Callithrix jacchus: one gene and its partners. The protein of the gene in region 2 interacts with the protein of the main gene of each other region in a biochemical or structural test. Links are inferred from orthologs where the notes say so. Each region holds a gene or a part of one and is shown on either strand. Other genes may lie near its edges.

The links. The genes of interacting proteins can lie anywhere in the genome.
Region 1: of the proteins of SIK2 (region 2) and HDAC5, one has a biochemical effect on the other in vitro, tested with the Homo sapiens proteins (2 studies listed by BioGRID). The link is inferred for Callithrix jacchus from reciprocal best matches to the Homo sapiens genes SIK2 and HDAC5.
Region 3: of the proteins of SIK2 (region 2) and CRTC2, one has a biochemical effect on the other in vitro, tested with the Homo sapiens proteins (2 studies listed by BioGRID). The link is inferred for Callithrix jacchus from reciprocal best matches to the Homo sapiens genes SIK2 and CRTC2.

The regions. Positions count from the first base shown.
Region 1 is NC_133506.1:70,958,020-70,962,812, forward strand, and holds the start of HDAC5 (histone deacetylase 5), read right to left. Parts: upstream 3,184-4,793; 5' UTR 2,824-3,183; coding exon 2,673-2,823; intron 2,254-2,672; coding exon of another isoform or gene 2,024-2,253; exon of another isoform or gene 1,891-2,023; intron 1,029-1,890; coding exon of another isoform or gene 976-1,028; exon of another isoform or gene 803-975; intron 1-802. Other genes in the region: uncharacterized protein LOC118153996, read left to right, coding at 2,024-2,253. UniProt on the Homo sapiens protein: Responsible for the deacetylation of lysine residues on the N-terminal part of the core histones (H2A, H2B, H3 and H4).
Region 2 is NC_133511.1:11,417,313-11,421,393, reverse strand, and holds part of SIK2 (serine/threonine-protein kinase SIK2), read right to left. Parts: intron 2,090-4,081; coding exon 1,861-2,089; intron 1,391-1,860; coding exon 1,106-1,390; intron 975-1,105; coding exon 811-974; intron 81-810; coding exon 1-80. UniProt on the Homo sapiens protein: Serine/threonine-protein kinase that plays a role in many biological processes such as fatty acid oxidation, autophagy, immune response or glucose metabolism.
Region 3 is NC_133519.1:14,384,215-14,388,948, forward strand, and holds the start of CRTC2 (CREB-regulated transcription coactivator 2), read right to left. Parts: upstream 3,184-4,734; 5' UTR 3,049-3,183; coding exon 2,896-3,048; intron 1-2,895. Other genes in the region: SLC39A1 (zinc transporter ZIP1), read right to left, coding at 4,614-4,734. UniProt on the Homo sapiens protein: Transcriptional coactivator for CREB1 which activates transcription through both consensus and variant cAMP response element (CRE) sites.

The DNA of each region.
Region 1 (4,793 bases), on a different chromosome or scaffold from region 2:
AGGCTCTCCAGGCCAGAACTAAGCTTGGATGCTGGTAATGCCCACTGTGAACTGGGGGGCTGTGGCAGGGTGGCCAGGCAGATACCTCACCCATCAAGGGAGACCTCTGATGACCAAGAGCGGATGCTGAGATCGGGCCCCATCTTCAAGAAAGAACAGCGAAGTGGCCCCATCCTTCAGTAGGTTAAGACTCTGTCTCACCCGCTGGGTGACTCACTAAAGCTATCTCTATTCACCTAGAGGTCCGAGCCCCAGAATAGAGCCCAGGAATCCTGCCAGCAATCCTGGACTCCAGCCCTCCCCATGCGACATTCATTCATCCATGTGCCAGGCACTGTGCTAGGTGCTGTGCAATGGCAGCAACCAAGACAGCCCAGAGAGCAAAGGCTGTCCCTAAAATAGGGTTCCAAGATGCTGCTGGAGGTGGCAGGCAGGCGTACCCTCAAAAGCCCCTTACCCCAACCCCTTGGGAGGCCTGTGCAATTCACACTGTCCAAAGAAGCATCCCTGGACACCTGCTTTTTCAGCCCCAGGCTCTTGCATCCTGTCTGGAGACCGATCAAGAGACGGGGAGAGGGGGTGGGGAGGGAAACACCAGGCTGCCCGGGCCCTCATGGCCGTGTTTATCCGGGGTGGATTTTTTTTAACCCAAAGGTTAAAGTGTTTCTATTTGAAACATCTATTTACATTCCAGAGTCCAAAAAAAAAAAAAAAAAAAACAAGGCAGCCGAGCTCCAGGCCTATATCTGTCCCTAGCCGCGTCACAGACACAGCATCAGAGCTGCGCAGGGGGAACATTCTTAGCCCTCTCCCCGAGCCGCTGAGGTGACTCACGCCTCCCTCCTGCCAGCATGGAGCAAGCCACCACTCAGAAGGCTTGGTCCACCCCCCACATCGGCTGGTGTGGGGAGACAGGCATCTGGAGAGAGGAGGTGCCTGGGGGTCCATGCAGGGGCAGCCAGGCTTAGGGATGGGATGAGAGAGCAGGGTCCAGCCTTCGAGGTTTCTGGGGTACAGTCTGAAAAGAGGTGAGTAAACAAGCCAAGGAGGAAACTCTGGGCCAACTGCTGGCTGCTGCTAGTAGCAAGGAATGGAGGGGACAGGACAGGATGGGTGGACCTGATAAGCCACACAGGGTAGAGCTGCCCCAAGCAAATGCTCCGTGATTATTCTGCCTTCCAAGAGACCACCTTAAGTCCCGGAGGCCATGGACTAGGGGCAAGCAGGCAGGGTCTTTCGCTGACCCTGTGGACTCCAGACCAGGATAAGAACCAGCCCTCTGGGTTTATTCCTTATCCCAGGGGCCTATGGAGCTGGCTCCCAGGCATATGCCCTTACCTCACGGGACTTCATGGGTACACAGTAGAGCTGGTCCTCAAGGTTACACCCTCATCCCAGCCCCAGCCTACAGGGCTGGCCCCAGGGTAAGGCCCCTATCCCCGGGGCCTGCATGGATACCCTGCAGGGCTAGTCTCCAGGGCCATGCCCCTACGTGAGAACACTGCAGGGGTATCCCTGCTCAGGAAGATGATAGGCCATGTTCCAAAGATCTTCTGAATCCTCCCGAAACATTTATTCTCTGACACATCCAAGTCGCACTGCAACATTATCCCTGGGCAGCTCAGAGCCAAATCACAGGGACCTGCAGAGGCACACAGTTCCCACCTTCCAATTCGAAGCTTGGGATGCACTCCCACATATCCATAGGCAAAGACTCCCCATTCACACGTGCACACACATAGTCACCCACACTTGAATGCCAAGCCACTACCAGGAGGGGCCAAGCAGGCATGGGTCCAGCAGGCCCCTCCCTGGAAGAAGCATCTTGTGGTGCCGGCCTGGTGGGGAGGCTGTGCCAGAAAGGCTTGATGCTGCCGAAAGGTTGCCGGGAGTGAGGGAAGGAGTAGCCCAGCTCTGGGGGACCCCACCCCTAGCCAAGAGGCAAAAAAGGTTACTGCTGAGAGGGTGGCAGGATTAGGGGGTCCTAACCCCATCTGAGCCAGAGTAATACCTCTTCATCCTCATGACACGGGAATCAACCCAGACCTGGGGAGAGGAGCGATATCGGGAGCCAGCTAGATGCGAAGGCAGCCAAGCCCCTCAATATCCGAGCTGCCAGCCTCTGCCTAACTCCATCACAACTATACCAAGCCTCCCCAAGTGTCTGATTCTCAGGAGACTCCTGGCTGGGGACTTGGCGGAAGTTACTGGACTTGATGCTCTAGCCCTAAGAACCAAGCCAGAGGAGCCGGGGTAAGCTTTATTCCTGTGGACACCTAGCTACGCCTTCTTCCCTTGCCCAAACCTGGGGAGCGGGCAGCAAGGAGGCGGGTCACTGACCCACTTCCTCCCCTCTGACCACACTGCCAACTAGGCCAGGATCCTCCAGTAACCCCCAGCCCCTAGCAACAGATGCTGACCCTGCCAGAGGCCAAAGTGACTGGAAGTGAAGCAGCAGAGTACAGCTGCAGGGCACAGGGGAGCAGCAGGCTCTGGGCAGGGAGGGCAGGGGCCTCTCTGAGCAGGGATCCCCCAGCCCTGTGTATTCTCAGTGAAACTCTCAAGACAGATCTACACAGGATGCTATCTGCACAAGGCTCGGAGCCAGATGCTCAGCCCAGGGACAAGGATACCCAATGACAGAGGGCAGGCAGGGACACCAAGGCACTTACCTGTCACAGGGATGCTGTGCAGAGAAGTCCGAGGCAGGATTTCCAAGGATGGTTCCCGGCCTGACATCCCATCTGCTGAGAAACAGGATTCTGTCTCATAGATGGTCTGCAGCATCTCCACGAGCCCCTGAGCCTTGGGCACCAGCAGCATGCCAGGGAGGGGACCGCCAGAGGCGGAAAGCCAGCCCAAGGAAAGGTGGTCAGGTGGCCCGCACTGTGCAGGGGTTCCCTCAGGCCACTGCCAATGGGACGCGTACTGTGGGGAAGTGCCTCATCCGGCCTGGGCACTCCTGACGGCAGGAGGGGCAGGGAGGCCCAAGAGCTGCAGGCCCAGCTCTGCTCTAAAGGGGTATCCGACCACCAGCCTTTCCTTGGTTCCCGGGAGCTGGGGTATGGCTGAGCACTTGGGACAGGAAGGGGAGCTCAGCGGGCAGGCGGGCTCTCTGTGTTCCCTCCCAATCCTGGGTGACAGCTCTGGGCCGGCTCCCTGCTCCTCCTTCCCGAATGAGCCACCGCCGGCAGCTGGCAGGAGACTGAAATAGCAGTTGGGGGAGGGCCCTGTCTATAAATAGGTGGAGCATGCTCAGGGAGCTGCGGGCCGGCTGCCAGGAGGCCCCATGGGGGGGAGGCGGTTCTACCCCAGGAGGAAGCGCCAGGCGAGGGGGATGGGAACGGGGGAGGGCCTGCACTCAGGGCCAAGGCCATAGCGATAGGTGGCCAGAGGCTGGGCTGGGGAAGGGCGCTGGCTGGGGTACCCATGCATCTGGGAGCGGCTCTGACTGCTACTTTTGGCAAGCAAGCCAGGGGACAGAGACCAAGAAGCCAGACTCAAGCCTCCATCTGCCCTCTTGCCTTCCAGACCAGGTAAAGGAATAGAAAGGGTCTGGGAGAGGCTGGCAGACAGGCAACTTCCCTGGAGTTCTAACAGCCCATGGAGGTTTGCTTATTCTACCCTCCCACAAAGCTGAGGAATGGAGTGCCTCCTCAGTCCTTCAACCAGCAGAGAGACCCCCAAACACCTGCCAATGGCAGCTCCCTCCCACTCATTCTGGAGTGTCGCCTCCAGAGGCTGCTCAGCCTCAGCTTCTTTCTAGGGGGTAGGGATATTCTTCCTGGGCAGACAGGGGTTCCCTGGTCCCCTTTCCTCACCCCAAGCCTGGGAAAGCGAACCAGGGAACACCTGCCCATTCTCGCAGCACAGGTAGCTCCTCCCTATCCATGTGCCAGGTGTGGTGCTAAGAACATCACATACATCATCTCATTCTGCATGGTGACTTTGGGAGAGAGGCACAGAAGGGAAAACTGAGGCACAGGGAGATGGTCACTCACCCTGGGTCATACAGCTGCTTAGATGACAGGGCTGGGATGTCCGAGACTCAAGTCTGAGCTCGACCCACCACACCACACTGCCTCCCATTTCCCAGGGTTTCTATGAACAGGTACAATAAACCCTGTGCTCAAGTAGGAAGAGACTTGAGGTTGGTGCCTCGCTAGGAAGAGTCAGTAGTCTTTCAGCATCCAGCCATTCCCCACCAGCCAGACTCAGGCCTGGCAGCATAGGCTCTGCTCCCTGGGTCCTAGGGCTGGTGCACTGTGAGGACCCGTGCCACTCCCATGCCCTCCCCACTGCTGGCCTGCCCCTTCTCCTCAGGTTGTGCTCCCACAGGTACAGAGATCCCACTTGGCCCCCTGACCTCACTAGAGCCTTTTAATAGCCTGGTTATTCCTGTGTCTGCATCCCCCTCCCTCTTCCTGATGTCACAGTTGCTATTTTGGAGCCCCCTCCTTGCCCCCCACTCCAGGCATGGAGCCAGGGACACCTGTCCTCTCTCTGGACTGGATGACCTCACCCTCTTGTTGGGAGCCCAAGAGGAGCTGGCCAACCAAGGACACAGTGGCTATGGCTCCTGGAGCCCAATTTCCCAGCCAGCTTCCACCAGTCAGGGATGGCAAAGGGGTCCCCTGCCCTCAGATTGGGAGTAGGAGGATTGGGGGACCACACCTATAGGCAGAGGCAGGGTTTGCCAGGCCCTAGACTGGCAAGATGTATATGTTGCCAGGGGGTACCCAGTGGTGGACCAGGAAAGAAACAGGGCTCTGGAGCTGCAGCTTTGAAGCCAA
Region 2 (4,081 bases):
AGGCTCTGCCGTGGGGACAGCTGAGGATGTATGCTGGCAGGGAGAGTGGAGACGCTTTCCTGCTGCTGAGAAACTTCCTCCTGAGGATCAAGGGGGTGGAAACAGTTTTCAGTTCCCCATGGGGAAAAACGTCTCAGTTCTTAGCTGAAGCACCTTTGCAAATGTCCAAGAGGAATCCCAACTCCCTAAGACATAATACTCAAAGCTTTTACAGAGCCAGCGGGCTAAGGGCTTGTTACTCTGCGGAACATTCATGCATGTATTACCTCTAGTTAACAATTACCTAGTCAGTACTAGAGCAAAGGCTCTTGGTGTCGCCAGGAGGCCATTGCCTTCATGTGGGCCTTGAACTATAATCCTCTTGGATGCACTGAAAATAGGCTCAAAATAAAACCAGATAAGTAGCAGTATTGTATTTTTAGTCTGAATAATCCACTTGTAATATTTACTAAAGTAACACCACATCAAAAGTAGTGGTGAGAAGCTTCTCATGTGGGTGCAGTTCATTATTCTTCATTTGTGCATGTGTGGCGGGGACGGGGAGTTCAAGGGCGACTCTAAGAGGTCACTCATCTGTACTCTGCCCTGTGAGCCAAAAACAGCTTGTTCAGGCCTCCATGTGGTATCGAATACTTGGGAGCAGCAAGGATAGGTTGAACTCGTCCACTGACCAAAGAAGCTGTGGTTTTTCCCAAAGAATCTGTTTGCTCCAGGACTGGAGGAAATCCTCAAAGTGAAAATGACCATCTTCAGGACAGACTCATACCTCATCCTCACAGAGCCATCAAGGAAAGGGCCCAAGGTACCCACCTGAGGGCAGCTGCTAGCAGGGTCCTGGAGCTGAGGAGCTGTGGGTGCCAGGTTAGGGTCTGCCTCTGGTCCTATCTGTTCATACAGCAGCTGCACTTTGTTCAACTCTAGAATTCCTTTGGTTCTAGCCAGATTCTGAAGATGTTGTCTAAATGCTACAATTCCTGAAAGAAAGTACAAAGATCAAACAGTTTAAATAAAACAAGGCCTTTCAGTGATCACAGGTGATCACACCAACGTGGCAAGAAACCCCCCACACGACGCAAGTTTCAAAAGGCAGAGGAGGAAGGGCTACCTTGGGTGAGGGAGGTATCTGATGCTCTGCGGCCCTCTCTGAAGCTCACTGGAGACCTGTTGTGGACCTCTCGCTTCTGGGAGCTCAGAGCCTGCATGGCTGGGTTGGTAGGTCTGAGGCTTATGAAGGGAGATGTCACGCGGGGTGAGGGCTGATTGGTTAACATGATGTCCTTAAGGGAAGGGTTATCCTCCAGGAAGTTCAGGTCCCTCTGAACAGACCCCATATCGTACTCTGAGTCCACACTGTCAAGGGAGGGGCTGTCGTTCACGGAGAAAATTTTCCCTTTAAGAGAAAACAGAACAGATAAAACCAACAGCAACAGTATCTTCTTGGAACATAGGGTACAAAGCATAACCAGCTTGAGTCTTGACAATTACCATGTCCTTAATCTCCAATCAAAACATCTTTCCAGAACCTTTTTACTGGCCAACTTAGTCATCTTCAAGTTTAGCGGGGAAAATACTCCAGAAGTGGCATCTGTAAGATCTCTGCCACTCCAAAAGAGCAGAGTCCCCGATGAATCATACAGCACCCAGACGAATCCTGGGGGCTACGGGAGCCAACTCAGACATTTCAATCACCTTTGATAGCTGCTGCCAGTCTGGGTCTGCTACACCTGCTGAATCTGCTCCATAAAGGAATAAACTAGCGACTCAACTCTAGGAGTTGGCTGGCAGCATGACCACTTGCTGGTGACTGGAGTATGAGATGACACCATGGAGACTCAACCTGGTGTCGCCTCTCTACTGTACCTGCCCCAGGCATCATGACCAACTGATTGGTCACTTCTGACAGAGTGTGCCGTCTTTGCCCACTGCGCGTGGACTGAAATGCCTCGAAGGCATGAGTGGGGTCTTCCTCAGCCTCTCCTTCTGTCTCCAGCCCTTCGTCAATGGAGGTCTCCATCATGTTGCTGGGAAGTGACTGGCACCCCTTCCGTACCAGGACAGGAGGCACGGGGTCAAGCAGACAGCCATTTACCTACACGCCAGGAGAGAGGAAACTCAGTTTCTGTACCACTGAGACAGAAAAATCCAGAGAGGAAAACATGTCAAGACTTGTGGCAAATTAGAAATTAAGTAAAATATTTTAAAATGCACATGTTTATTATGAATGACAACACACAGATTAGAAGTGAAGGCAAGTCAACTGCAGGACTCAGAGACAGAAGCCTGTTATGACCCGAACTGGCACTGCTGCCCAGGTTTCTCTGAGTCATCATTACAACAATAAACAACTTTTTTAGTGGTTTCCAGAAGAACAGGGGTATATTACTTTGAGGCCTACCAGTTATTTTTTTTTTAAATAAGGGAAATGAAGAGAGGAAAGATGAGATTTTTTTTTTTAACTACATGGCTCATTGCTAAAAAAAAAAGGGGTAGTCACCAACATTCTTCTGTTTTTCAACTATAAGCATACTAGAAGGTTTTAGAAATACTTTTATGTTCATAATTTAAGTGCCTGCCCATTTGATTTAGTCTTTAATTGGTTCTATGTGCCTGAGGAATGGAAAGTAAAAATTCTATATAGACAGACTGATACCACAAAAAGGATTGAAAAAAAATTCCAGTGGCAGACAGCCGAAGCCTTTCATTGCAGAGTAACAAATGGCTCACTGGCCCCAAATTCCAGCAGAGGCTAATAAGCCCCGGTGCACTGAATTCTGTCTCCTCCAGCAACACACACATTATCAATGGTTCCTATCCCACAGGGGTGAGCGCAGCACAGCCCCTCCTAAAAGCACTCGCCCTTCCCATGCAGTTGCCATGCAAACCGCCTAATGGAAGGCAGAACAGGAAAGGGGGTGGGGTTGTGGTTGCAAGTTCTGGCTGGTAAAAGCCCCTGTGAGGAGGTAATTATTTACCTCATTACCTTAACTATTCCCCCGTGGAAATCAATCCATTTTCTCCTATGAATAGCTGCTCAGGAACAGCCAGTCATAAGGACACTCAGTTCTAAGCAGCACTTTCACCTGGAAAACACTGGGTAGAGCTATTGTTTCCTTTGGAAGCAGGAGAGGCTCACGTATGTGAGAGGGGGCATGGGGTTTCCCTTTGCCAGACACACAGGAAACTTCCCTCATACGGCAGCCAATCTGAAGGCACTGCGAGGCCCTTTATTTGGAGAAGGAGACTTGGGTGACTCAGATCTTTGTTTGCTGCAGGGAGGGGAGGGTTATTCCATAACATCCGTTCTGGGCTCCAGCCCTCACTTGGGTAAGGTGGCTAATGCATAACAGGGTTTTAAAGTGATAAGCGGTCATTTAAGAGGAAGAATGGCAGATGCTTCCTTCCCAGACTGGCCAACCTTCCCCATGGCAGCAGAAAGCAAAACTCTGAAACTTGGCCAGCAACTCTTACTCTTTCCTTGGTCCTTCCCCAGATAAATTTTCCTTTTTGACTAAACTTAATAGTTTCCCTGTAAGAAAGAATGGCTATTTGAGAACTTACATTCATACTTCTAAGCTCCTTAACTGTGTACTAATATAATTTTCTAAAACTAGCCAAGAATGAGTATGAGATGAAATGAATAAACCAGCAGAGAAAAGATCATTCAGTCACTATCTACTGAGCATCCTTACACTCACAGCCTCCATCAAAATTTTACCAGACATTTCTTATAGGATAAGCCATACAAGCAGGTTCTTTCTTTTTCCTCCTCCTTCAACTTTTAACTTCCAGGGTATAGCTGCAGGATGTGCAGGTTTGTTACATAGGTAAACGTGTGCCATGGTGGTTTGCTGCACCTATCAACCCATCACCTAGGTATGAAGCCTGGCATGCATTAGCTATTCTTCCTGATGCTCTCCCTCCCCCGCCCCCCCTAACAGGCCCCAGTTTGTGTTGTTGCCCTCCATGTGTCCATTCAGCTCCCACTTATATGTGAGAACATGTGTTTGGCTTTCTGTTCCCGCATTAGTTTACTGATGGCTTCCAGCTCCAACCATGTCCCTGCAGAGGACATGATCTCATT
Region 3 (4,734 bases), on a different chromosome or scaffold from region 2:
ATGGAATAATCTGCCGGACAGGTGGATCACCTGAGATCAGAAGAAGTTTGAGACCAGCCTGACCAACATGAAGAAACCCCATTTCTACTAAAAATACACAATTAGCCAGGCTTGGTGGTGCATGCCTGTAATCCCAGTTACTCGGGAGGCCAAGGCAGGAGAATTACTTGAACCTGGGAGGTGGAGGTTGTGGTGAGCCAAGATCACTCCATTGCACTTCAGCCTGGGCAACAAGAGCGACACTCTGGCTCAAAAAAAAAAAAAAAAAGAGGAAATAATCTGCCAAAAAAAGGCCAGTGTTGGAGTCTGAAAGGTCTCCTGAGATTTGGTGCAAATAACCCACCAGAGCCCATCTGCAAACTGCCCTCGTCGGTGATATCACTACTGCTTGATATCACCCTGCCAGGCAGAGCCAGATATTCTGCTGCTCAGGGCCTGTCTCATTTGGCATAAGTCTAAGCACAGTCCCTGAGGGGGCTGCCAGGAGCCCCGGGGCTACTCACAAGGGGGAGTGCCTATTAGGAACCTGTGCTTTCTTTCCAGATGTGTCCAGGACTAATTCTGAAATTAAGAGGAAGGCCACAGATGGATGTCACAGAGCCATTACTGCCAGACTCATTCCTTCCCACTCTGGAGAGCAGAGGCTTCTGGGCTCTGCCACTTGCCCAGCCTCAGGAAGGCCACACAAAGCCTGCACCTCCTAAACTAGAACAACCAAGGAATGACAGCTCTCCTAGCTGGAAAACAGCACCAAAACCAAGGGGCATTCTTCCATTGAATCCTGAGGCTCCTGAATTGGCAGGGAAGCCTGGAGAAGGAGGGTGGGAGAGAGAGCAGTAGGCCACTCCAGTATGGGCCGAGCCATCTTCCTGGTCTCATCCTCACTTTGGGGAGATATGTCCGGCATAGATGTAAGACAGCCCGGCATGAATTTAGTCTGTGTACAGATGTCCTATCTCTGTGAGAGGCGAGCATCTATTTCCAAGGCTCAGGCCCTGCCAGCAATCAAATCAACAGGCCCAGGGCAAGGCCATGGGGAGGGCAGCTGAGGAGGGGGGAGTTCTAAGAGCTTTCAGGGTCACACTCTTGTACAGAAACCAACAACAGAACTGACTTTCTGTCCCAGGAGGTCAGCCTCGTGAGTTTAGTGGGTACTGCGCTGACCTCTGGGCCACTTTAAGACCACTAATAACATACGTGGCAACCCCTGTCTCTCAGTGGTATAGCCCCCAATGGCCATATCTATCTCAAATGAGCCCTCCCACCTGACCGGATAACAGGCTGAGTCCCTGATCTCTAGTCCCTAGCTCAAGACTTTTGGGTCCCCTGGCCATGTATACCCACTAGACTTTTCTGTGTAGATGAGAAATTAACCAGCAGGAGCAAGGTGGGTAGAAGGGGCCTTTTAAGAGATCAAGGCACTGTAAAGAGAAGCCCCAGCTTTGAGTTTCACACAGCCTTTCTTTGCACACAGGAGCCCTAAGAATCCACCATGCCTCTGCTAGAATCACAGTCCGCAGGGCAGGGCCTCATGCTATCAAGATCAGCCTCCCTCCCATCTTCCTGTCTGTCCCCAACATGATGGAAAGCTCCTAAAGGGGAGCAGTCTACAGTTAAATATTAATCCTCACTGTGGTTACAGTGGGTTATGCACATGCATGCATGTAAGTGTGCAAATGCGTGCACAGACACACCCCAGATTTGCCTCTCCATCCAACTTCTGACTCCCACAAACTAGGGCACATGGTCCCAAGAGACTCAAAGGGGAAACAACAACAACAAAAGACTAACAGTCAAGGGACATACACACAAAAATACAACCAGGGTCAGTCATAGATGCGACACAGTCAGACCAGCAGAAAAAGGCTGGAGATGTAATAATGTTCCACCACCAACCCTTAAATTCCTTCTAGCTCTCAGCCGTGAGGAATCACTGCAACATCCTCACCTACTGTTTTTTAGAAGAATGTGTCCCTAAATTAAGATAGCATACCACATAGGCAGACTCTCATCCTTGGCTCCCTCTGACATCCAGCCTTGGGAAGCAACAAACCAAGGCCACGGGGGCTTCAGAGGCAGTCTGGCAGAGGCCTGAAAGTTCTTTCAAGAACTTCCTAGGAATGAATATTCCCTACAAATAGAAGACTCTCCAAGGCACCCTACACACTGACCCATAAAACAGCCACCTCCCTAGAAAGCTCACCAAACCAGAGTGCCACACGACTTAAGGTCGAACGGTTACCAGTTTTATACAGGATTCAAAACCCTACCTCTCCTCCAAGGATGCCAGGCAAAACACCAAACGATGAACCTCACCTTCATTCACGTCAGGAAACCACAGGAAGTATTTGAAAAAGGAAGCAAAAGGACGGGACGCTGGAGGGGACTTCCTGCCCCACTATACACAGCCCCTCTCGTTCAAACCACTCAAAGGGTCCTTTCCCAGGGGCACAAAGCGGGAAAAGTAGCACAATAGTAGGGCAGAGGGACCAGTCTGGAGAAGATCACAAACTCAGAGGAGCCAGATTAGAGACAAGCAGTCCTCCTCCCAGGCCATACCCCAATAGCAGGCATGCTTCAGTGGTGTCCTCGATGGGACTCCGTCAGGGATGCACAAGGACCACTCACCTCCTACCTCCGCCAGACTTCAGGCGACCGTCTCCCCTCTCCGCCCACTCCCGCCTCACGTACTCGGCCCCCAGGCGACTCTACGCTCCCAACCTCTCCGGAGTTTCGGTCTCCCCCGGCAAAATCCGTCTTCCGGCCCCTCGGCCTTCGCCAGCGGCCCCTGCCCCGTTCCGCCTACTCGGCTGCGGCGCCCGCCCCCGCCCCGCCTCTCCGGTCTCTGCTCCGTAACTGCTCAGCTCTGTTCGGCACCCCGGCGCGGCCCCTCACCCGGGTGGAGCCGATGTCCATCATCACCTCCTCGAAGGCCGCCGTCTCCTCGGCCTGACGCTGCTTCTGCAGCGCGATCTTCTCACTAAATTTGCGCGGATTGGAAGCCGAGGATGTGGCCGAGCCAGGCCCGTTCGCCCCCGACGTCGCCATCTTCCTCCTCCGTCCCTCCCTGCCACCCTCTCAGTACCAGCCGCGGCCTCTGCCGCGGCTCCGGCCCGGCTCTTCCAGCCGTAGCCACCGCCGCCTCAGCTAGCACCGCGAACCCGGCCCCAGCCTAGCCCTGACCTGTTGCGCGCGGGGGCCGCCGGGAATTGCAGTTTGTTTACGAGACTCCTTCACGTCCCCAGTCACACGGCACCGGAAGGAAACGGACTTCATTTCCCAGCAGCCCGCCTGACTCCGGGAACTGGGAACTTCGCTCCACCCTCTCGGCTACTCCCTGCGAGAGGCAAGCTGGGAAGAGTAGTTCTAAGTTAGTCCTGAGCCTACGAAGGCAAAGGGGAGAGGGATTAGGGAGGAGGAAAGGTAGAGGAAAGAGAAGGGGAGGGGAGGGGTGGAGAACGGGAGAGAAGTACCAAGACACAAAGGAGGAAACATTTGGTCATCTTTCAGGGAAGGGCACTATCGGAACCTGAGTGAAAATTAGAACAAAAATCTTACAACAGCTGGAAACATCTGGGACTCAGACCCTCTCAGGCTGGCCACATGCCCACCCCTTTCCCAAGAAAAATGAGTCAGATACTGTACAGATGTCTAGAAACATCTTTTATTTGGGAAACAGGTCAGTTAATAAAATAGATTCTAAAGAATACACAGCCCTCCCTCCCAAAAAATAACCCTGGGGGTAGGCATTGCCCTTCCCCCTTGGGCTCGAGTATATTTAAAAAAATGTTTTGGCAGCTCAGTGTTTATCATCTGGGCATGGGGCACCGTGTCCATGTCCCATATTCCTAGGGTACAGCAGCAGTAGGTGGCTGCAGCTTTCCAACCTTCCCCCTACCCCAGCGTAGCAAATATTTCTGCCCTACCCCAGGATCTTGGACCAAAATAAAGAACAAGCCGGCCCCCTTCACTGAGGTGCTGGGTAGGGCTCAGTGCCACATTACTGTGCTTTGAGAAAGAGGGAGGGGATGTTTGGCACTTTAAAAATAGAGGAGTAAGCACGACTGGAGGTCAGAGAAGATACCAAAATTGGCAGGGAAAGACCATTTGGCACTAGTCCCCTGGGAGACGGGAAAAGGGAAATAGATATGAGGGTAGGAGCTAAGAAAAATAGGAGGGTTCCACTCCAAGTGGCAGGGTGCTGAAATGGGCTAGGATCAACAGGACACTGACTCTAGGTTTATGACCTCTCCGTACCCGTCCCACAGCAGCTGATGCCCATCTCCAGCCTCCCATGTCAGCCTGTCCTTATGTATAGTGTCCAACCTCTGATTCTAGTAGTCAAGTGTCTTCCCCAATCCTAATGTCCCCTGATCCTGTCTCTACCGACTTGGACCATCTCTTGTTCCTTGGGACTGGGGCCAGCCTCTTGTCTGCCCACTTCCCTCTCATTAGTCAGATAGCCCCAAAGGCTCTATCTTTAGCTCCCAGAGAACTTTTTGGTCCTCAGTACTTCCCTTCCCCATTCCTTCCTATTCCCCACACACTGGGGGAGGGAAGGGAGAACAGGGGCACGTGATCATCAATCTCCCCTGCCCCTCTCTTGAAGCCCCCTAGATTTGGATGAAGAGCAGGCCAGTGAGCAGAGCAAAGCCTGCTAGGAGCAGAATGACCTTGAGGATCCTTTGCTCAGAACTGGCCAGCTCCTGGGGCAGGATTTCCAGAAAGGTGATA